2 linked regions of the Rhinolophus ferrumequinum genome follow. The protein of the gene in region 1 interacts with the protein of each later gene in a pairwise test. Links are inferred from orthologs where the notes say so. Each region holds a gene or a part of one and is shown in the gene's direction. Other genes may lie near its edges. The genes, in order: TSGA10 and CDC73.

Region 1 (12,465 bases):
ATGAAACAAAGAGCAAGGTATTCTTATCCACCGAGTAAGTGACTCTGACTTGATAAGATAGGTGATGCCAACTTTATTACCACAGGGTGAACAGCGCAACATTTCTCTTCATATACTTGAGGCGGGAGCTAGCAATCTAGCTGATATTTTTACAAAAATTATTGAAAAATTAAAACAAAAGATTTTTTTCCCCTGAAAGTTTGGGCCCAAAACTTGGGTGTGCATTATACACGGGAACACATTATACACGGCAAAATATAGTAAATTTATTGTGGTTATATAAGTGAATGTCCTTGTTCTTTAGGAAATACGTGCTGAAATAGGGGTAAAGGATCATATCTACAACTTGCCTTCAAATTATTTACCAATAGAGAAAGTGAGAATTGGAAAAAAAAGATGTCCAATAAAGATCAGCAAATGTTAAAATGTTGAATCTAGATGGGAAAGTATAAAAAAAATTGTTCAGTGTTTATTCTTGTTAAATTTCTGTGTGTTTAAAACTTTCTCAAAATACAAAGTTGAAAAAAAGTTAAAAATACTAACAAAACACTATAAAACAACATACTTCATTTAAAATCAACAAAGGTAAAATAATGGTAACATATATAATTAGCAACTAGCACATTAAACTTCAGTCTAATAGAGGGACTGGGGAAGAACCAAATGCAATTGGCCCTAGGAATCTCACCTTAACTTGCCTGGGATCTTGAGGACATGATGGGAGAACAAGTGTACTTGGGGACTCTTTGGAAACCCAGCATGTGGACAGTTATTTAAGAAGAAATCGTAAATGCATAAGGAAGAATAAAGTTCCATAGAGCTAAATAAGTTTGGACACACATACACACACACAAAGAGAGACTTGCCTTATAAGATACTAAGATATGCTACAGAGTCAAAATAATAAAAACAGTCTAGTCCAGGTGTAGGAACAAATAAATGACCAATAGAACATGACAGAGCTCCAACTTGAACCTATATTTGTGCAGGAGCTTTACATATATAGTAAAGGTGGCACCATACAGCAAAGGGGGATAGATCCGCTAGCACCGTGAACACTGGCTCACGATGTGGATGAAAATAAACCAGGATCCCTCTGCTATACAAAAGGGGACTCCAAGTGCAGTAAATACCTAAATGTGAATGGTAGAAATATGAAATGTAGGCCAATGTATTTGTCACCGTGGGGTAGAGAAGGATTTCTTAAACAAGAACTGAGAGGCTTAATAAGGAAGAAAACTGATGGATCTGACTACTCACAATTAGGAATTAATCTTCAATAAAGAAACTATAAACAAAGTAAAAAAGATGGGGAAGAGACTGGAAGAAGATGTGCTGTCCAAAGCCGACAAGGGATTTACAGCGAGAATATAAAAAGAATAAACATCAACAAGGAAACCCAATAGAAAAATGGGCAAAGGATGTAAAGACATACTTCACAGATTGGGGAATCTCTAATAGGTAGTGAGTACATAAAGAGACGTTCAAACTTACTAGGAATCAGAGAAATTCGAGTTCACTACCATGAGAATGGCTGGCATTAAAAAGGTGGATAACACTGAGTGTTGAGAATGCAGGGTGACAGGAAACCTTGTGCATTGCTACTGAAGTAATTTTTAACTCCTATTTCATATTCTACATCCAACCCTTCAGTGAATCCCGTTTCTGTTTCCACCCTTGCCCCCCTGCCCCATTGTATGGTTTTTCAAACTGTATCTGGAATGAGCTTTTAAAATATAAGCCAGATCCCATCAATGCTCTGCTGAACACGTTCTAGTTACTCCCTATCTCAGAATAAAAGCCAAATTCTCTACATATCAAATCTCCAGCTGTAGGTAGAATAATGGCCCCCAAAGATGTCTAAGGTTGCAAGTGGCATTCAAGTTGCCAATCAACAGTCCTTGTGGTGGGGAGATCATCCTGGACTAACCAGTGGTTGCCAGTCTTTATCAGTGAAAGAGACTCTCAAGAGTCTTTATCAGTGAAAGAGAGGCAGGGATGTCACTGTTGCAATGCAGGAAGGACTTCACAGGCCACTGCTGGCTATGAAGACAGAAGGGGACCACAAGCCAAAACAAAGCAGGCAGCCTCTAGAAGCTGGAAAGGCAAGAAAACAGATTCTCTCCTGGCGCCTCCACAAGGAATGCAGCCCTGCTGACAACTTGATTTTAGCCCAGTGAAATGCATTTTGAATATCTAACCTCCAAAACTGTAAAATGATACATTTGTGTTGCTTAAAGCCACCAATTTTGTGGCAAACTGTTACAGCAGCAATAGGAAACTGATACACCAGCTAACATACTGTCATCTCAAACTCCTCTCCTGTTCCTCACTCACTCTGCGTCAGCCCCATAACCTCACTGCTGTCCCTCAAGCACAGTGCCCTGAGCCTGAGGCAGATTTTGAATTGCAAACCACTTCTGTTGGGGATGGTTGGTGACGGGCAGAGACTATGAGGAACCGACTTCTGGTTCCAGCCGTGATACAGAAACAGGGATCAGATTTATCCTCTTGCCTGAAACATCTTAAAAAATAGATAAAACACGTGAAACCATGGTTTTAAGATATTGGACAATAGGCAGTGCAGGAGCGTAATCCCAAAGAGAAGGGAAATAAACAAGGTGAGCCCTAGGCGAGCTGACTGCCTAGAAATTTCAGGCTTTAGTACAAGGAGGGGGAACCCAAATTAAGCTTGGTTATGTCAAGTTGTTGAGAAGACAGAATCCAGAGTTTGCGGAGGCCAAGTTGGCTAGAATTTATGGAGAGAGGTGCAGCGAGAGAAAGAGCTCCAGAGATCTGCAGAGGATTCCCCACAATTTTTTGGCTGTGCGTAAGGAAATTTTGAGGCCTAGGAAAGAACCAGCCAAAAGGAGAAGGCAGACACAGGGCCAAGAATAAAGTTCCCACCAGCCAGAGTGGAAAGGAATCCTAATACATGGGGCATCGAATATAGTCCGCAGAAAGGTACCGGCTCAGCAATGGGGCCAAATTAGCCTGAGATAAAGACTAGTTTGACCTAACAAAGCTTGAAAGCAAGCTTCTAAAGCAGCGCGGTCCAACAGAACTTTCTGCAATGACGGAAATATTCTACATCTATTGTCCAACGGAATAGCCACTAGGCACGTGTACATTTGAAATTACACAGTAAAATGAGGAACTAAATTTTAAATTATATTTAGTTTTATTAACAAATTCAAGTAGCCGCCTGTAGCCAGTGGTTACTATTTTGGACAGGGCAGCTCTAAAGGATCAAACTGTTTCCAAGTAAACATACTGCATCTCAGAACAAAGCCTAAATATATTTAGGCACCCAACAATGTGAAATCTGCAATGTCTGGCAGCCAATAAAAACTTACCAGGCATGAAAACAAGCAGAAAAATATGACCCATAGCCAGGAGAAAACAAATCAGTAAATAGAAATGACACAGGTGATAGAATTAGGATGCAAGGAACTTAACAGCTCTTTTAATATATATTCCATATTTCCAAGAAGGTAGAACAGAGCATGAGCATGCTGAGGTGTGATGGAAGATCTTTTTAAAAAATCAAACTTCCAGAAATGAAAAATACAATTCTGACATGAAAAATATTGTGGATGGGATTAACACTGCCAAAGGAAAGAATAGTGAACTTGAAGATAATATCAATAGAAACTATCCAATTTAAAAAAAACAAACAAACAGAGCATCAGTTAGCTGTAAGGTAATATCAAGCATGTTAACACATATATAACTGGAGTCCCAGATTTTTTTTTTTTGGAGGGGACCAGGAAGGTACAGGAAAAAAAAAAAAGGCAAAATAGAGATTTGCATAGTGAAACTTGTGAAATGATGGAGAAACTAAGGGAATAAAAAATGCAGGTTTTAGAACCGCACAGGAGTGTGTCACAAGGGAGAGAGCAGAGGTACTATGAAAAGGGTCATTTGGGGCAGGATGGAGCACCCACCACACTTCGGGTTTTCATAGAGGGAAGAAAAATTTCACTTTCTTGGTCTGGGGAGGAAGTCTTTGAAAGGAAAATCATCATGTCCTGGTTTGGTCTTAAAGTGATCTTTTCCCTACATTCTTTCCAAAGAATCTTCAGTAACATCTAGGTGGCATACATAAATGCTTAAACTTTTCTCATTTTTCCCCTAAGGGATGTACTTTCCTACCTCTTATATTAATAATCCATTCCTCTCCCCAAGTCTTCAATTCCAACTGAGTTTTGAAGTTCATACATTTTTCCCTATTTCTTTTCAATAATGCTGGATAATGAGAACCTGTTATTCAAAATAATCTTAGTATCTAAAGAGGAAACGAGATTATACATTGTTCTCTCTAAAATAACTTTTCAGGATGGTCTTTGAGAGCTCATGCTTCTTTGTAACTTATTCTCAGAGGAAATATATCTCTTGGGATCTCTGACTTCTTTATCTAAAATAGTGACACTCAATTTAATTTTTTAGTATCTAGCTATATTTACAAAGTATATGATATCTGAAAATAAATGCTACAAAATAAGAAAATGTAATGGCACACAATGATAAAAAATCAGAGCAGAAAGTGTTTGAAAAACAGCACTTATATTTAAATATACTTCTATGAAGAAATTGGTTCTAACATAAAATTTGTTTATGCCTGCCAATAATATATTGTGGGAATAAATGAGTACTCACCTGGCAAAAACAGGAATTGTTAGTCTTCCAATGTGAGTTTACTTTTGAAATGCACAGGCAAATACTAAATCAAGATAATCAGAGCAGCTATAAAAACCTAGTTATCTATTTCATCTGTGGAAAAGACAAGGAGATAAAGCCACCATTTAAGTCCAGAAGCCCTTGGGTTGTTTAAAAAAGATGGGTCACCCACAGCCCCAAAACACAATATTTCTTAAGCTGGGATCCAAAAATTTGGCAGAATGATGCAGTTCACATTCTTTTTCACTAAAAACTGATTTCTCCACTTACAGGTAATGTGGTTAATTTTAACATAGTTGGGTGGCCAAAAATATTACACCTGGGTAAGTTAAAGGAGCGTTCTCTGAGAGAAGACAAGTTTAAATGGTATTAAATAGGAAAACAATCGATACAATAGTAAATGTCAAGTGAAGCAATACACACCGTGTTTCCCCGAAAATAAGACTGGGTCTTATATTAATTTTTGCTCTAAAAGACATATTAGGGCTTATGTTCAGGGGATATCCTGAAACATGCTATGGCTTATTTTCTGGTTAGGTCTTATTTTTGGGGAAACATGGTATACCCCTTACGTTTTATTTTTTGTTAACCATCACCAGTTTTTGAGGAAAGGGACTGGCATCTGGAGATGGAATATCGGACAGGAATCTGCGCTTTCATTGCTAGTTCTGCCACTTTTCGATTCAACCCTTACTGGCCCGTGCAGGGCTGACCCGGCCGAGGGGTCGCAGGCTCCCCAGAATGCAGGCCGCCGGTGCTCACCGAACAGGCCGGCTCTCTCCCTGGACGTGCAGCGGCAAGACCCAACTTGGGAGGCTCCCCGAAACCCGGCCCCTGGCTGGGGCAGCAGAGCGCACCAACCTCCCAGCGCCCAAGAGCTGCTCTGGGGAGTAACAGGTTCAATGAACGTGGGTCCAGAACGGTGCCGATCCCAAGGAAAAGTGGCACAAAGCAGCGGCAACCAAGCAGCAGGTAATCCCAAGCTGAGAGGGCGGCTGGAGGGCACACGGCCCTGCGCATGCGCGTTCCATCCAGGTGCGGCAACCTGCAGCGGGAATAAGAAGTCTTGAAAAAAAGAGTAGCGGCTGGTTACTAGGAGACGGGGACGCTCGGGTGGGACGTGTAGTCGCTGCGTGGGCGTACGCCTGCGCGGCGCGGATGCACCAGGAAGACGTCTTTCCTAGGCGTCTTGTAAGGCGGGCAGGTGTCGAGACGTGTGTGGGTGCGCGCCCACAGCTTGTAGTCCCCGCTAGAGGGCCAGGTACGCGTGCGCACAGGGACTGAGGGCGCGCGGGACGGAAGCGGAGCGAAGGCGCCGGGGAGGTGGAGGACAAGCCCCCCTCAGGTACAGAGCGTGAGGGCGGGGCCCAGTGCGGCGCCGGCCTCCCGTAACCGCCCCCGCCTCCTTCTCGCCGGGTCCCGCCTTCCTCCGCCTCCACTGGGGTGGGGCCAGGTCGATTTGCGGGTGGGGAAGGAGGGGAAAAGGGCGGAGGATGGACTCTGGGAGGGACCTGGATCCCTGGCGGAGGCCCAGGCCTGGCAGTCGCTGGGATGAGCTCCGGGGAGGACTCCGGGCCGAGAAACCCGGGCAAGGACCCGGACCTACAGGTAGAAGCTGCGGGAATGCGCCGGGTTGGGGTAAAGCAGCTCCTGGGCCGAAGACGGCGGCTGCAAGAGGGCAGGTGTGGCGGGGGTTGGGGGCTGTGGGTGACCCCCGAGGTAGGCATTCACGGCTTGAGCCGCTGTGAGGGAAAGTAACGGGCAGAGTTGCGGTCCCGGGAAGCCCTCCTGGAGCAAACTTTGCTCCTGTTGCGGTTTCTTAGGACATTAGCGTGGAGCCCAGTTCCTATGGTGACCGCTTCGCTTCGGGCCGCAGCTCTCCGCTTGGTTGTTGGGGGGACTGTTCTGTTTAGAAACGCTCTGGAGTGGAGCTCCAGTTAGAGATTTAGGAGTTGAACCTGGCTCATCCTGACTCCCAACCTCTCACTTCTAAGCCTCTTTATAGACTTTGGGAGGTGAAGGGCCGAAATTACCTAGGCATTTGCATGAAAATCTCATAGAATTTCGGTAGAAATTATAATAGGAAAAGCAGTGTAAACTGGCTTTTGTTTGAAAAAAAATAGGAGACTTAGATTGAGTAACTGGCGATCATGGCCCTGATACCTAAATACGCGTAGAAATGCACATTTTTCTTTAAAATGCTTTTCTTTTTTCAAGGATCGCTGTTTCAGGAAAAGTTCGCATAGATGACTGTCTCAGAATCTTCCTTCTTAAATTCCATGCTCTTATATCTTAGGATAGTCATTGTTTTAAATGTCCTCTATTGGCATTTCAGCTACACTTTTAGTTTGTTTACCTGTGAGGAAATAGAATAACAATTGGCTTTTAAGTAGAAGAAAATAGGTTAGTTATAAGTATACAAGGAAAGTGTCACATAATTGAAATCTGCCTCCAGGATAAAACATTTTTTATTGTATTTTAATTGATCGATGAACTAAACGATTCAGTTTTAATTAGTGGGACATAATTAGGAAGGCACATTAATGAAATATTTATTTTAAACAATAAACTTTGGCATTAGTTAAGGGCAGCTTCCAAAATATATCTTATTTTGTTTACCTTCTGAAAAAAATCACTACTTATACCCCAGCATAAAATCATTTGTAGAGATTCTCTGGGCTCTCTTTCTGTTTTCTTTTTCAGTTGCTTAGTTCAGTTTGTTTTAGGATAATTTGCTTTTAAAGTGCTCCATATACAGAGGCAGTTAGAGCAAGCATTACTGTTCGTTCTCTTTTTCCATCACATCCCTCCTTTTCCCCAGATGTAGCCACTGTCCTCACTTTTGTGATTGCCACTTCCTTGTTTTCCTGTATAGTTTGTGCATCTTTGTATGTGAATGTGCACATTGAAGTTTGGCTTGTTTTTGAGCTTTACATAAATGGAATTTTTCTAAGTATTCCTTTGCATTTTGCTTCTTTACTCAACATTGTGTTTTTAAGATTTATTCGTGTTGTTGCTTGTAGTTTGTTGTTTAGTTTTCTATTGTAAGAGTGTTGGTACCACAATTTGTCTACTCTTCGTTTGCTGAACATTAAGGATTTTACAGTTTTTGGTTAATGTGAACACCACTGCTGTGAACTTTCTTATACGTGTACTCCATGATAATCGTTTGAAGTGAGCTGGTTATTAAGTAGTTCTATGTCTTAGTTATGCTAACAACAGCAGTCTATATATTAGTAAATTCTTTTACTTCAGAAAAGCCTCTTGAAAACAACTATTTAACCACTTCTTATGTTTCCAGAAGGTCTTGATGAATGGTACCTCTCCTAAGGCCATTGTTTTATGCTGTTTTAAAAAGACAAGTTATTTCTTTACAGTATAATCTGGATTGAAGAGAAGTGAGAAGCTTGAGTTTGGATGAAATGACTAGAGAGCATTATTTTTCATAACAAAGGTTAAACATTGTGGCTTTACTATTTTGTTTGAAGTGAATTCCCAAAACATTTATTGACTTATTTTTATTATAAATACAAAACCCTGTCTCAAAATTATTCATAAAACTTTGTGTGGTTTTCTACACCTTTCTGTTAGTAAGGCTATTCCTTCCTATTTCAGTGTCTGTTAGTCTAAACTTCCAGAGACAATTTTATAAAAAGAAAACAAGTTGACCTTTTGTGGAACCAGAATTTAGAATCCCATATAAAATACTCCAGTGTTTTCAATTATTCTATCAAAATATTCAGTAAACATTTGTTGAGCACATATTTTATACCTGATATTTTACTCAGCATTGATGATACTTTTTAGCACATGATTGTACCTCCTTTTTTACTAAAAATTAAGATTCTTACCAGGCAGGAACTTTTTCATATTTTTACCCCTTCTTATCTAAATCTTCATCTGACCTTGTTTTTTCTGTTATTGGAGGACAGTGCACACCCTTTACCTGGGTTTCTTCTTAGCTCAGTGGTCATTCTGCATTAGTTAACGTTAACCTATGTCTTAGAATCTTCATTGTGTTTATACTGTAGGGCTTCTTAACCTGGCATACAAGAGCTTTAGGGAGCTCTTGAACCCCCTGAAATTGTAAAGTTTTGTATGTGTTTGCATTTTCCTGAGGATAGGACCAGGGCTTTTGTTTAATTCTGAAAGGGGTCCTTGATGTAAAGAGAATTAAGAAACATGTTTTTTGGGGTGGCCAGATGGCTCAGTTGGTTAGAGCGCCCACTCTCAACAATGTTGCTGGTTCAGTTCCTGCATGGGATGGTGGGTTGCGTCCTTCCCTTCCGCCCCCTACCCCCGGCCCCCCCCCCACACGAACTAAAGATTGAAAACAGCAACTGGACCTGGAGCTGAGCTGCGCCCTCCACAACTAGATCGAAGGACAACGACTTGGAGCTGATGGATCCTGGAGAAACACACTGTTCCCCAATAAAAAAATTAAAACAAGAAAGAAACAAGTTTTTCTCCTCTTGTAATGACCCTTTGACAACCCTGCTCTTCTTCCAACTTTCACTCTACGTTTATTTTTCTCACAATTGTGCTTCCTAAAAGAAGTCTAATTTTCTACTTCCTTCTTTACTACTCATTCATTTATCAGTCCTCTTCAGACTTGCTCCTACCCCATCCTTACGATTAAAATTACTTTGTTCCAGTCATCAAAATTCATTATTTTAAAAATGTTTCCTTGAGTACCAACTTTGTGTTGGGCACTTTTCTAGGCATTAGGGATATAAGTGACCATACAAAAGCCTAGATCTCTTGGAGCTTACATTCTAGTAGGGGGAGACAGACATAAAAAAGTGAAGGAATAAATGATATAATTTCAAATAGCATTAGTGAAAAAAATAACCTACTGAGAGAATGAGTCGGAGAGAGGCTACTTTAGGTCAGGGAAGCCCGCTGACAGATCAGCCAAATAGCTGGGGGTAAGATGGAGCCAGCCATGCAAAGAGCTGGGGGAGAGAATGTTCCTGACACAGGGAAGGCAAGGGCAGAGGCCTCAAAGAGGAATGAGACTGGCACATAGAGGAACAGGAGGAAAACCCATAAGGCTGGTGGGTGAACAAAGAAGAGTACTAAGTCTTTTTAGGGACAGGAAGGCAGTGACCAAATCACCAAGGATCTTAAAACGTTTGGGTTTTATTTTAATTGCAGTGGGAAGCCATTGGAGTGTTTTTGGGCAAGATCTCACTGTTTAATGATTGCTTTGATTTCAGTTTGGAGAATAGGTTGTAGGGAGCTACTGTAGAAGCAGAAAGACCAGTTAGGAAACGGTGGCGGTCATCCCTGTGGGAGACAATGGTGATTTGGACTACTGAGGTGGTAATAAAAATGTAGAGAAGTGGATGGATTGGGGTATATTTTGGAGTTAGAACCAACAAGACGTGTTGATGGATTTGATGGAGGTCAGGGAAAGAGGAAACAGACAACTCCTGGGTTTTTGACCTCGGGCACTGCTCGATGGTGGTGCCACTTGACATGGAAAAACTGGGAAGGAACGGAGGGGAGGCAGGGCTGAGAGCAGGCATGCAGGGTTTTTAAGACATGTTAAAGTTGCAATGGCTGTGGACAGCCAGTAAACGCAATATGATGTGTTACGTGCTTCGATTGGGGTGTGTTCATAGTTTTTTTTGGAACATGGAAAATGTATTCTAAGTATTTGGGGGAGAAAGAGAAGTCAGACAGGCTTTTTTGTAGTCCTTTTCTCTGTATCCCCTTAGCATCGTGTGCATTCCGCTGATGGGGCCCTGTTCATGCTGTGCTGTAATTTCTGACTTACTTGTTCTGGATGTTCCTAGATTCAGGGAGTGTTGCAACTGTAGGTATTTGTTTTTCATCTTTCTATCCCAGAATCTAATATTGGTTCATCTTCATTGTAGCTATTTATAAATTTGTTTGGTAAATGAATAAATGTGACTGTGACAGTCTCAAGGTATGAACTGAAATAATGATAGTAGGGATGGAAGTAATGTATTTCAGAGAGATTTTAGCGAAAAGATCAGTAGGACTTGATGGCCATTTAGGTCAGTTGAGTCAGTGAGAAGAATTAATAATAATAGTAATTGTGAATAATAATACATATAGCATTTATTTTTGCTAGGCACTATTCTGAGTGCTTTACGTACATTAACTCATTTAATCCTCAGAACAACTCTATGAGCAAGTACTGTTACCATCCCTGTTTGATAGATGAGGAAGCCATAGCCAGAGGAGTAACGTGCCCATGCCATGCAGCTGAGAAGCGGCAGAACGAGTGTGATGGACATAAGCAGTGTGATGCTGAAAAACATGCCCTTAACCCCTATGCCCTGGTGCTTCCCAGCGACAGTGACTGTGATTCTAGCTTGGGTGTCTATGACGACAGCTTGCTGCTTGCACTGTACTTTTTCTTGCTTTCTCTGTGATCTGTACAGGAACAGAAGTTCCATCCTTAGTTCCATTTAGAGATTGTGGGAAGATGGAGGATATTCAGGTGACAGGCCAGGCAAGGGCATTTCAGGTACTCTGATTTCTCTCCCTTCTTATTGCCTCCAAAGCTAAAGCACTTAAAGTAGCAAGTCTAATATGATTGCTTACAATTGTCACATTGACTGTTGGTCTCTTCCGACTTTTAATTTCTAGACTAGCCTGGTAGGTAATTTTTTTATTTTTAATTTAATTTTTAATTAAGTGAAGAAGAAAAAGCAGGGAATCAAGAGGAGAATTGGAACTGTTTCACAGTTAATCCCAGACATCTGTGCCTTGGTCTACATCGTGCTCTGTGATTCTGCTGCAAAGCTTATAGACTTCCGTGTACTTGAAGTGGCAGTAGACATTGGGCTGACTGCCGTATTATTCATAACCTCTGCTGTGAGAGTGTAAGGAGGAAATTTTATAGAATCCCCACTTGTCTTCACGAGAAGAAGGAAAGTTCAGTTTTATCTGCTTTAGTACACTGCTTCATTATCAACCTCCACAAATTTTTATGATGCCTTCCTATTACACAAAGAACTCTGTGCAGGTTGGGGGGAGTACAGAGAACTCTAGGACATTGCTTGTTCTTCAGATTCTAATGGCGGTGTGAGGAAGATATATCCAGAAAAAAACAAATAGCTACATAAATTGTTCTATAACGAATATATACAGAAGTCTCAAAGAAGGATGGGATCACTATTTGATGGAGCTGATAGAGAAAACCTCCTAGAGAATATGGAATTCAAGCTGAGTCTTAAAAGTACCTTTAGTTAAATGGAGAAAAGGGTGAGGGTAAGTAAGGCTTATGAACAAAAGATAACATGACCGTATAAAGAACGTGTGGAGTCCTTTGGAATAGATTGTCTTTATTAGAGGGGTTCTTGGAGGTGTCAAGTAGGAGATAAGTTTGGAGACATGGGGAGGGATCATATTATGAAGAACTCTGAATGCTAGGCAGGTTTAGACTTTACTTAAATAGATCCTTGCTATTCAGCTGTAGTCTCTGTACTAGTCAAGTAGGGATCCCCGAGCACTTTTTAGAAATGCAGTGTTTTAGGTCTACTGTGAATAAGAATCTACATTTTAATAAGATTCCCAAGTGATTCGTATATTCACTGAAATTTGGAAAGTGCTGCTGTAGTGAGGAGTCATTTGATTCTGTTATTCTAAGTCAAATGTTTATGACTAGGAACACATTTTCAACAGGAACTATGTAAGAAATGGTAGTTAGGATTTCAGCCTAACCCATAAAGGCTTAAATTATTCTAATTGGAAATAGTCTGTGAGATCTAATACTTTAGTTCCAGGTGAGGCAGTAACTTTTGGAAT
Region 2 (12,712 bases), on another chromosome or scaffold:
GTGAGTGTAAGTAAATTCATGTTCATAATTTAGTAAATTATCTATTGCATACTGAGAAATTTCAGTGGCATTTCAAAAAAAAGGGACAATGGTGGTCGTATTCCCCTGAATCTCTAACTCTTTATGATGTGATTATTGGTACGCCCCTCTCTACAGTGTGTTCCTGGTGGTCTATGCTTGAAGGTCATTGACAAAAATGAAATTTTCATTAAAGATTCAGCTGAGACCCTCACCGCCACAGACTGGGCCCCTTGACCCTCTGGTTTGGACATCGGAAATCTCTTGTGTCTCCTGGCCAAGGCCACCATACCTGGAGTGAGGAGGTAAATTTAGGCTGAATTGAGCTCCGACATTGTGTTGAAGTACTTTACACTGGGTTTTATTTTCTTCCCTGGGAAAAAGTCTCCTGAGAACGTACTGCGATCTGACCAGATTTGTATTATTCCTTAGCGAAACTGTTTTCTAGCCTTCTGACTTTTTCTCCTGTGGTTGTCTTTTTCTCCTGTCTGCTGTGAGGTTGTCTATGAGAGGAAAAGTCCATCGGAAGAGGAGAGGCAGAGGCCCTATAAGTCTATCCTTGAGCTGGCGCCACAGGTCTCCTCAGACCATTGTCTGTGAACCAACTTTGCCTCGTTTCCATTTACAAATGATACAAAGACTCCCTCCTTAGTCTTGTCTTTGTGTTCCTGCTCTGTTTAATTTTATCTGCTTTAAAAGCAGGAAGCTTGTCCCACCCATGTTTGGGGATGATTAGCTTTTGGCTAACTTCCGGAGACATGAGGTTTCACAAGTATTGTGTATTTCCTCTAAAATAAGACCTAACTGGAAAATAAGCCCTAGCGTGATTTTTCAGGATGACATCCCCTGAACATAAGCCCTAATACGTCTTTTGATGCAAACATTAATATAAGACCCGGTCTTATTTTTGGGGAAACACAGTAGCATCTTTAGGGAACACTGCAGTTTTCACAGGGGCTTCTTGATCAAAAACTATTTTAACTGGTACGCTGAACTCTCTAACTGGCAGAATTATACGAGAGACAATTTGGAACTACACAAGCCACTTTGGTTACTTTTGAGAAGAACAAGATCAGTCATTTAGGAGGTGCTTTAGAACAACAACAAAAAAGAAAGTCATATGATGAAATTGTCTTGTTAGTGTAAAGGAAAGATAATTTTTTAAATTTAAGGTAGGAGACACCCCCTCTTTCATGTTCGTACTTTGAAGATTGATAAGGGCTGCTTTTTAATTGTATTACTAGATAAACTTGTCAAGGGTCCGAGTTATTCTTTAAATCAGCTATAATAATACTCTTTTGTCTGTGTACATGTTTAAAATGGGTATTTCTATGTCTAAATTTTCTCTTCTCTCTTCACATAGAAAATATAATTATCCTTTTACAGTGGTCATTTCATATTTGTCTGAAGCTGCCTGCTTTTCATTTTCTCTCTCTTAAAAAATCTAAACATTAACCAATGGATCAAACAAACAAAAACATTCAGTTAGGTGCTCATTCTAAAAGACAGTTGTCAAACTTAGTGTTTATTTTGTGAACTCTGAAAATTATACTTACTGAATAGCCCTGGTCACATAGGCACAATACAAGAAAAGAAGAACTTTGGGCATGATTCAGAGTTTGTAAATTTTAATTTACCATGTAAAAACAATGTCAACATAATATTTTGTACATAACTAAACTAGTGTTTAGTTTCTCATGATTTGTACTTCCAAAATTTCCTATGTTTGGTTTTTGAATTAAATAAATTATCATTGTTTGTATAACATGATATATATATATCTATAAGTAAAATATATGAATTGTATTCAACAAAATGAAATGGTAATAACAGATATCTTTTTTTTTTTAAATGGCTGCACCCTTCACACAGTCACTCACTTTTTTTTAAAGATTTTATTGGGGAAGGGGAACAGGCCTTTTTTCGAAGTCAAGTTGTTGTCCTTTCAATCTTAGTTGTGGAGGGTGCCATTCAGCTTCAAGTTGTCTTTTCAGTCTTAGTTGTAGAAGGTGCAGCTCAGCTCCAGGTCCAGTTGCCATTGCTAGATGCAAGGGGTGAAGCCCACCATCCCTTTCCGGAGTCGAACCAGCAACCTTGTGGTTGAGAGGACACGCTCCAACCAACTGAGCCATCCAGGAGCTCAGCGGCAATTCAGCTCAAGATGCCCTGTTCAATTTTAGTTGCAGGGGGCGCTGCCTACCATCCCTTGCGGGAGTCGAGGAATTGAACTGGCAACCTTTGTGGTTGAGAGGATGTGCTCCAACCAACAATAGGAGCATGGAGCTCTAACCGCCTGAGCCACCGGGCCGGCCCAACAGATATCTTTTTGAAGGGACAACTTTCTGAAATTCTTACAGTGCTACAAATAACAATTTAATGTGCTTGCTAAAATTGTAAATTACCGATCCTTAATTAACTTTAAGACTAGGCAAACGAATAAGTTAACAAATAACTAATCTTTTGATGCTTGGACAATTTCTAAGTAAAAAGCAGATAAGAAAACCACATTGGTTACTAAATATAATTTGTTATTTATTACAATGGCAATGGATTAACAAAATATACAAATGTCTCTTGGTTATATGATATATATATATATATATATACACATATATATATATGAGGTATGATCAAAAACATGGTGAATGTTTACATAAAAAAATGATTAAAGTAAAAGACACATTGCCATTAATCCCCTTCAAAACACTCCCTCTTGCTTCGAACACACTTATGCCATCATTCTTGCCACTTTCTCAAGCTGTGCTAGAAGTCCTCTGGCAGTCGTGGCTGCCTCGATGTCCTGAATCGATTCAAAAAGTTTACCTTTCTTGGTCATTTTGACTCTGGGGAAGAGCCAGAAGTCACATAGTGCCAGATCTGGTGAATAAGGTGGATGAGGACACACTGTAATGTTTTTGACAGAAATTGCCGTGCCAACAGCAATGTGTGACATGGAGCGTTGTCATAATGGAGGATGAAACCGTTTGTCCACTTCATGTTAATACATTGTTTGTGATCCATGATTTATAGCACACTTTAAAACACACCTTCTCTCAACCGTAGCTCACACCTGATTGACTGCACCGAACAAGTTGAAACTTGTCACACACTGTTACTAAGGTTCCACGCACCGCTTCCCTTATTGGAGATCCCTGCCTTTCTGTTGAATGGCACTCGGCAGCAGCATTCACTGTATTTTTTAATCAAACCTTATATGTGTGCTTATTTTTACAACCTCAAAATTGTTAAAATAATATAAAACGCACATTAATAGAACAAAATCGCTAAGCAATTATAGTTTTCTGTCTTCTGATATTCTCTTTTGTTTGGAGAAGAAGATGGTTACTTGGTTAATATGATTATTTATATGACTGGTTGACTATATTAGGTGACAATAATTACAGAGAAATACAAGATTGTATGGAAGACAATCGATATAATTTTCTGTTTATTAAGAGTTGTTATTATTTATGAAGATGTTAAATTTAATATGATATCTACATTGTTTTATTTAATGTGTATATGTTAAGGCTATAGTTTAAATACTTTAAATATATTATTTGTATATTTATGTATTCATTCATGCCTAAATACACATGCATATAAAGGTATACTCATAAATTTTATATAGTAGGTAGTTATGTGAATAATGTACAAAAGAGTAAAATTAGAATTTGAGTCTTGTTTTCTGTAGAAGAATTCAATTATTATGTGCCCAAATTAGTAGAGGTTCCTTTATGTCACCAAAATATTTGGTAATTGTCAGTGCTAACATATTCTTAAATGACTTTGAAAAAATTCCTTCCTACTTTTGAAAAGATTTATTTTCTAATACCATTGCTGTATCTCGCTATGCTTTTACAGTATTGCCTAAAAATATTTCTTGTCTTTGGATACTTATAACTTAATATTCGTTTACTCTAACAACTACTCTTAATTTTGTTTTTTCTCAGTTTAGGACCCAGATTCAGAATAATGCCTAAATGCTCATCAGCTCTCCCAAAATGGCCATTGAGGAAAAAAAGAATTGCTCCTTTACACATGAAAGGTCAAGAAACATAATTAGATTTTTTTCATAATTCCTCAAATTTTAAAAAAATTATTATGAGAAATCATTATTTACAAGATGTAGGAAAAAACTAACAATGCAAAAAGACAGGTAAATTATACATAAACAAAATGTGTTAATATAAATCTTTCAATGATTGTAGTATACTTTTCAAGTTAAAAAGAAGCCAGTCTATCAAAATATTTTGTTTCCAGGATTCTAGATTCAAAAATCCTGTTTTGTTTTTGTTCATGAAAGGTCTGAAGACATGTACTGATTCTTCAGAGGTTTATTACTTAGTTAAGTCTTTCATTAGATCCAATAGCCAAAGTGCACCCATCTCATCTAAGAGCTGTAACAAACAGTGGCAAAACATTTGAAAGCTTCCACTGACTGTTCTAGAGTCTCCGCTGAAACTAATTGTTCCCCAAACCACGCAGAGGTTTTTATTGACAAGAAAGACTCCACACTTCTCAGCTGGCCGCCTAACCTCCTATAAAATACGGTTATTTCCCTTGCACACTACTGTCCATTACCACAACATTAAACCCAGTCACTCTCATTCCCTTACCAAATAGAAGGATAACCCCATCTCTGATTACCTCCTTAGGAAACTACCCATAATACAGCAGGTCCTCAAATGACATCGTTTCCTTCAGGGCCTTTTGGTTATAACGTTGATGAGAAAAAAAATGTATTTCGGTGAGGGCCACTGTCCGGGCGGAGTGTGTACTTCCTCCCACAGCCCAAAGACATGCAGGAGAGTATAGCTGGCTTGTCTTCATTGCCCCAGTCTGAGTAACAAATGTGAGATATACCTGTGTTAAGAAACATGAACAAAAGTATGGCAAACATTTCCCCACTCCTTGATATCAGTTCAGGGCGTGTGTGGTGGAAGCCATCCCTGCAGCTAACTCTGAGGACCCGGTGGGTAGGGCAGTCTTCTGTCAGAGGGCCCATACTTGCATCTACCCACACTCACACTGGTACAGTGTATACTCATCAGTGAACTCCACCAGCATACCTTTGGGACATGGGAGGAAACAAGAGTCGACAGATTCCCTGGGGAAAACTCATGCAGACATGGGGATGAGCTGCAAATATCACAATGGCCTGATTGGACTCCAATTTTTTATTTTTCCTCTCATCAACATTGTAAGAAAACAACGTTGAAAAAAAAAGTTGAGGACCTGCTGTGGGGACAGAGTCCCAGAGAGCAGTTTCCAGGCTCTCAGCCTCGCGTGGAAAGGTGGTGGCTCGGGTAGTAGATGGTCATCAGCTGTGACTGGTTGGCCATTGGCTGTAACCAGTTAGCCATTAGCCACCGATATAACTGCCATGGCTACGCTGGCAAGCGGGTGGGCTGGTTGGCAGAGAAGCGGACGGCAGGTTGCAGATCGTGTGGCTCCTGCTTCCTGTGTCTCCAACCCAGCCGCCAGCAAGAATATAGTGGGATGACTCCCCTCTCTATGGCTCCATTGGTGTTCCATTTTGGCCTCACCATGTCCTGCGTTCTCGTGCAGGGAGCGGGACCAGGGTCCCTGCATTACACCTGTTGTATATTGAATTTATAGCACTGTTTCCAGGACAGCAAGGATACCCTGGAGCCTTATGGATGCCAAAAAAAAAAAAAAAAAGTAATCCAAAAGTGTTCTGATTCAGACAGTTTGGGGTTCGAGTTCTCTAAATTTCCTATTGGCATATTGGAACAGAACCATTTAAATGTAGCCCTTTGGTGCCTGTGGGGGAGAAACAGGACGCAGGACGGAAAAAGTCACCATGTAAGGAATTGAAGGGGAAGGGCCCACATTTATGACATTTTGATGATTTGCTGGACCCTTTCACCTAATTCTCATACGAACTCCATGTTCTCCAAGACCCAATTGATGCTGTGAGAAGGTACATAGCTTGACCAAGTCCGGGATTGCTCTCCGCTGGACTCGGTCTTTTCCAAGATGCTAATCAGCCTCACACCAAAAACAACCCGAAACCTCGCTCTTCCAGAGGCCATTCGCTAGGCCTGGTTCGACCTAGGTGGGAAGGTAATCCTAGCGTCCTGCAAACCTTTTGCCAAGTTCCATCCCCAAAGCAGGGACGGCGAGCTTTCGGCCGCACTCAAAACGGGCGACGGGTCCCTCCGCGCGCGCTCCAGGAAAGGAAGCGCGGAACCTCTACGCAGGTGCGCGCGCACCTGTCGCTCGCGGAGCCCCAGGCAGCGGTGGGAGGGGCGGCGGGGCGGGGGATGAAGCACTTGCTCCGCGCGCCTGCGCCCGGCGATGTTTCCCGTACGTGCGTCGTACGTGGTGGCCGCGTCCCTGCGCTCCGAGGTGCGGGCCGGGAGTCGGGCCCGGGCCGGCTGGGAGTCTGGGAGGGGCGTTTTCCTGGGCGGTGGCGACGCCCCCTGGCGGCGGCCGCGCAGCGCGGGAGGCACGCAGTCAGGCGATCTCCGCGGGCAGCCTGCGGTGGGGCCTTGCTTCCTAGCGCGGGGTCCTCGGCGGCCTGGGTGGCTACTGCCCCTGCTGCTGGCGTAGGCGAGGACGGCTGCGAGTGCGGCTGCAGTTGGTTCGCGGCGGCGGCGACGGCGGCAGCGGAGGAGGAGGAGAACCAGGCGACAGGGGAAGAAGGAGGCAGGCGCGGCGGCGGCGGCGGCGGCGTCCGGGGCCGGCGGCGGAGAGGGGGGTGAAGATGGCGGACGTGCTCAGTGTCCTGCGACAGTACAACATCCAGAAGAAGGAGATTGTGGTGAAGGGAGACGAAGTGATCTTCGGCGAGTTCTCCTGGCCCAAGAATGTGAAGACCAACTATGTAGTTTGGGGGTGAGTCCGGCAGGGCTGTGGCCGGGCAGAGTCGGGCGCCCCCAGGCGACCTCTTTCCCGGCCCCTCCCCCCGGTCCCTTCGGGGATGGGGAAAACGGGGGCTCGGGGAAAAGTTTCTCTCTGGAGTGGAAGTTACACTTGTAGGTGAGGAGGGAGAGGTGGGAGCTGCGTCTGGAGTGGTCCATCCCATGAAGTCTTGGGGGAGCTGAAGGGAAAGGTCCTGGGGCAGTTTGTGAGTCGCCCGGTTCGTTTGTCGCGATGTGGACGGAGGGCTAGCACCGCGTATAGGTGCGTGAAGGAGGAGCGTCCCGTCCGTCCCCGGAGACGTGTCTTTTTGTTCTTGAGGGTTTTTTTTGTTGTTTGTTTTGTTTTGTTTTTTGTTTTGTCTCTTTCTCTGGCCAAGGCTGCCCTGTGTTGCTAACTAGCTCCGCTGACCCTTGCAGCTCCTGGTCTGTTTCTTCTCCTTTTGCGATTCCCTCGAGAAGATAGAAGGGCACCAACTCTGTGGAGTTAGGACGGGAAAGAGGTTTGGTCCCTTTGGACGAGTGATCCAAATACGTTGGAAGTGAAGGCAGGAGTTTCCTCAGGGACGAAGCCGCTGGGGAGATAGAGTGAGGTTTGCAGGTCTGAGTTAGAAATGGATGGGGTCTGTGATTTGGGGAAATGTGTTTTCAAGAGAAATGTTTGGGGACCTTGATCCACGTGCGGTGCCCTGAATTTAAGTCATTAAGAAAACATCGAGCCAGAGGTCTGATCATCGTTTGGGCCTTTTTAGTGATGGGTCTCTCATTGGTGGTGTTTTGTGGGGATACATAGGACCTTGGGCCAGAACGTCCATACTCTTTTTGTTTGATTGCATGGAAGTAGTGCGCTTTATGAAGGGTTGAAGAAAAACTAGGGGAAATTCAGGTGGTTGGTTGTTCTTTGTTTTTTGTTTTTCTGGCTTGAGGGCTTGGGATTTAATTAGCTTTATGGAATGTTAAAAATGACATCATTCCGATTTTCCTGTTTTGTCCATTCAGAAGGATTTGCAGACTGGATTACACTTTTAAACTGGAGTTTTAACTGTGTATTTTTTTTTTCCTTCAGTGGTTCAGGAGTACTCAGGGTGTTGGGCAGTCCAACCTGAGAAATGGAAACTTCTTAGGACGCTGGTCCCTGCCTCAAAGGAGGGTCAGCTAATCAGAAAAGAGGAGATGAAACCTGCTCTAGGTCTTAGGACAAGACCCCCAATACCCCTTCTAGCTTGGGGTATCGGGAAAGTTTTCATGGACGTATATTTGGCATGTAGACATGCGACCGATTTTTCTTGCATAAATGAATGAACAGGTAAATAAGCTTTAAAGAATGGGTAGGAATTCTGAGGTGAAATGGTGGATTAGGTCTTTAAAGACAAGAGAACTGTATTAAAAGGCACGCATGCTGGAAAGGAAATGTTTTGAGAGCAATTTAGTGAAAAAGGAGTGCTTAGAACAGTAGATTTCAAACTTTTACAGCAGTGAATCACACCAATAAATATGTCTTCTTTCATTATTAATGTTTGGGTGCGTATGTAAATCTGTACACGTTCATGACATTGAACAATACTTTATCGCATACAGTACATTCTGTTTGTTATTTTGCTTTTCTATATCATAAAAAACCCCTGGTTGTTACCCATATTTTAGATTTCATAGTGCAATAATTGACAGTGGTGTGTGGTTTGAAATACATAGATTTAGAGGACAAGTGGAAATAGAGGCTGGACAATGAGGTTTGGGGCTGATTACACTGGGCCATGTTCAAGTGAATTCAAATGCTTGGACATTTCTAGACGGGGAGAAGGTTGTAGGAGGGGTGGGGTTGGACACTAATGTTTGTTGAGCAAGTAGTAGTACGTTCCTGTGGTAAGTATCTTGCACCCCTAGACTACGTTGTTTTATCGCAGGTAGAATTCATTTTGGTTTTGGGTCATTGGTTTAATTTGAAGCATGTGATTAAGACTTATACCTCAGAAATTAATTGTTGTGTTCATTACTTAGGAGACGTAGACATAGGATAAATTTCTTGTAAGTTTAGCACCAGTAACAGTTGTGCTTCTTTTCTTCTTTTCAGTCTATTTTTCTATGAATCCTCTCTAGTGTGTTACCGATTAGGTTTCTCTATTGACAAAGTCCAGAACCTAATTTGGGCCAAATATTAAAAAGTATATATAATGTCTTAGAGTAGGAATGTGTGTGCTTTCCTTCTTGCTTTTTGCCATTGTCTACCTTTGTGTTCCTTTTGCCCTACCTAACCTAACGACGATTCCACTTTCTAGATTTCATACTTTGTATTTTTGTTAGCCATCTTAATTCCATTCTATTGTTGGATAGCAAAGTGGGTGTAGGTAAATTAAGACACATAAGTAAGCCCTACGAGTTGAAATAGAATTGTGAGTAAAACTCTTGCCATGATTCTTTCAGGACTGGAAAAGAAGGCCAGCCCAGAGAGTACTACACATTGGATTCTATTTTATTTTTACTTAATAATGTGCATCTTTCTCATCCTGTTTATGTCCGACGTGCAGCCGTAAGTAGAATTTATTTTAAAACTTTATTGATTTAATTGATGGTAGGTAGCATTTGACATGGATGATGTCCCTCATGGATTTCCGATGAAAAGCATGAAAGATTTGTATGAAAGTTTCCTGGAGGGTTGTGATTAGATTATTGTGGTTTATGCGGATTATTTTGCATGTAAAATGTGGGTAATGTTTACAACGACAGAAGTTTTAAAGACGTTTATAGGGATGTTTTAAATAATTTATGAGTCTGTGCAAGGACCCTAAAATTCAGAACTTTAGTTTAATCTCAAAAGTTTTTTGACATCAGAAAGAATCAAGATTAACAACTTTTTAAAATTAATTTTTAAGCAATAAACTTTTTTCAGATTTTATTGATAAATTCATCTGTTTTCAGTTTTGCCTGCTTTCTGCACCTCAGTGTTTGAACACTGCTTTTGTGAACAGGAAATACATGTTTAGCGTCAGATATGTATTGAAAGAAATAATGCGTAAGGTGAAACGACTTGGAATCTAGGGAACTAGTGGGATAACACAGCAGCATCTCTGTAAAGCCATGTTAACTCAGATCTTAAAAACTGTATTAGGCAGTAATTAGAATGTTTTGCTGGTTGTATGCATTCCTTTTGGGGTAATATGGGTGGTCCCGACACTTGATTGAGATTTAGAGAGTCTCTTCTTGGGGATGGGTGTAGCACAAACTAGCACTGGTCGTTACTGTGGCCCTGAGGACCCAGGTCACACAGCATTTAACGCTTCGTTTTTCTTAACTGCTTGAAAGATTGAAAGGGCAGGATTCTAAAATTCTAGGTTCTACAGTTTTATTCTCCTCACTCTGTGTTACCTTCTCGCCCCTTGGAACAGACCATTTCTGAAATCGGTTTGCCTGAGTTGTAGCTCCTAGTTCCGTTGAGTGGACTCCCATCTTTTCAAGTTGCCTGTAACGTGTGTATCATTCACTAGTGACCAAACCCTGAAGTGTGTTCTCAGACTTAAAAACAGTAGTGTAAGGAAAATTCATCCAAATCTTTTTTAACTGTTTATGATATTCCTTGTAGGCGAGATCACAGAAAAACCTGTGGGCCCTTAAATGTCTGTATTTGTAAGCAGCAATGAAAGTTTAGCGTACTCTTTTGAAAACATACATTAATCTTAAGTGATTAAATACAGTGTATCTCTACGATGGAGGACTGCATGCAGAATGTTTGGTGCAGTGAAATCAAGTCGTCAACATAAAGTCATCAGCTAGGGTGCTAAGGGTTCTGCTTACTTCACTGTTGGCTTATGGAGACTGCCTGAAAGGATTTGCACTATGTCATCCTGCAGCCACTAGTTTTTCCTGTACTCTGTTTTTTGTTTGCATTATAAAAATGATACGGACAATTGTAATTGCAGGATTCATTGCATTCATAGCCCAGAGATAACTTTTTGCCTAAAGTATACCGTTCTATTTGTTTTGCTCACCTCTACAAATTGCTCATGTAGGAACTTAAAGGAAAATTACCTGTTTTACCAAAGTATATACATTTCTCCAGATTTAATTCTTTAATCTTACAGAATGTATACACACTTGAGGATAAAAAAGAAATATGCAATGTAGAAAGTATACAACCACCATTAACATTTCCCTGTATAATCTAAAATTTCCCACATACCTAGTATTAATTATAAAAATTTAGTTTTAGTGGCTAAGCTGGTTTATTTGAAAGAGTGCAAGTATATTTTGAGGAAGTCTGGTTTAGATGTGATAAAAGAAAGCACTTTGGAAACATTGCATAAAATTAGCAAGCAATGAGACTAAAAAGATACTTGCCCTAAATAACGCAAACCATCATGAGTAAAATTAAAAACTAAGTACGTAGAGTAAGCGAAGGGAACAAAACAGACTCAAATTGACATTTTGAAGAGGGAAAGGGTCATTGTTTCATTTCTGTTACCAAAAATTAACATGCTTAGTACTTTTAAAGATTTTTATTAGGTTCTTTTAACCTAGTAATTTCCTAAAAATACAGTTCTAAATAATGTTATGAAGATATGTTGGACTAAAATTCAGACATTACATGATTTTTATCTTTACCAATTGTCTATAATTGTTTTTGATTTGGTATCTAATTTAAAATTTTTATTTCAGACAGAAAATATTCCTGTGGTTAGAAGACCTGACCGAAAAGATCTACTTGGATATCTCAATGGCGAAGCATGTGAGTCAATTTTAAATTGCCCTCGCTCTTTTTTTTTTTTTTTTTTAAGGCTTAAAACAATAGAATTTATTATCTCATAGTTTTGGTAGGTCAGAAGTCCACCATGGCATAACCGGGTTCTCTGTTCAGAGCGTCACAGGTTGAAATCAATATGTTGGAGTCCTCTTCGAAGTTCCTTCCCGTTCTTGGCAGAGCTCAGCTGCTTGGAGTTGTAGTATTGGCTCCATTTTCTTGCTGGCTGTGGAATGGGGGTTGCCCTCAGCAACTAAAAGTTGCCGACATTCCTTGTTATGTGTCTTTCTCCATCTTCAGAACCAGCCATGGAGAATTTTCTCTTGCTTTGAATCTTGAAATTGCTCTCACTCTTAAGTGGAAAGTGTGTGTGTCTGCGTGTGTGTTTTCTATGAAATAAGCAGTGGGAAGAGAATCTGTATCCCCACTGAAAAATGGACGTACGTGCAGCTGTGTCCAGTCCTCTTCTTTCTTTCCTGTTAGAGTGAATGCACAGCTTTTGCTCCTAAGGCCAGTCACCCCTTCCTTGTGTGTGGGTTCCATCTCCTTTCACACTTTCAAAGACTTTGCCTGGGAAAATTGTTGATTTCCTCTTGCATCATCTTGTTTCTTCTGCATCATTCCCTTTAGAATACACACAGTAAGACCTCTTATTAAAGAAAATATTTTGACCCCACATTCCTACTATCTACTGCTCCATTTGTCTTCTTTTTATTGCAGAGTTCTTTGCAAGGATTGCATGGTATCACTGCTTCTTCTTTACCTCTGCTTCTCTCTTGACTCCTCCAGTCTTGCTTTCTTCCTCACATCTCACAAAAATCACCCCGGTGAGGTGGCTTGAGGATTGCGTGCCCTTGCGTCTCTTATCCACGGCCTATTTGACCTTTTAGCAGCACTTGGTTCTATTGACTGCTCCCTCTTGGAGAGCCTTTTCTTCATTCGGCATTTGGGCCATCAGGCACTTTTGATTGTCTTTCTACACCTTGTCCACCTTTCATTTTATTTTGCATACTTCCTTACCTCCAATGCTGACCTATTCCTGAGCTCCAGGTTTAAGAATTCACTCTCAGCATCT

The links.
Region 2: the proteins of TSGA10 (region 1) and CDC73 interact in binary tests that used the Homo sapiens proteins (3 or more experiments, as listed by UniProt). The two-hybrid records come from large-scale screens. The link is inferred for Rhinolophus ferrumequinum from reciprocal best matches to the Homo sapiens genes TSGA10 and CDC73.

Annotation. Positions count from the first base shown.
Region 1 is NC_046296.1:4,999,464-5,011,928, forward strand, and holds the start of TSGA10 (testis-specific gene 10 protein), read left to right. Parts: upstream 1-6,166; 5' UTR 6,167-6,231; coding exon 6,232-6,288; intron 6,289-12,465. UniProt on the Homo sapiens protein: Plays a role in spermatogenesis. When overexpressed, prevents nuclear localization of HIF1A.
Region 2 is NC_046310.1:4,965,956-4,978,667, reverse strand, and holds the start of CDC73 (parafibromin), read left to right. Parts: upstream 1-6,503; 5' UTR 6,504-6,751; coding exon 6,752-6,882; intron 6,883-9,326; coding exon 9,327-9,432; intron 9,433-11,555; coding exon 11,556-11,625; intron 11,626-12,712.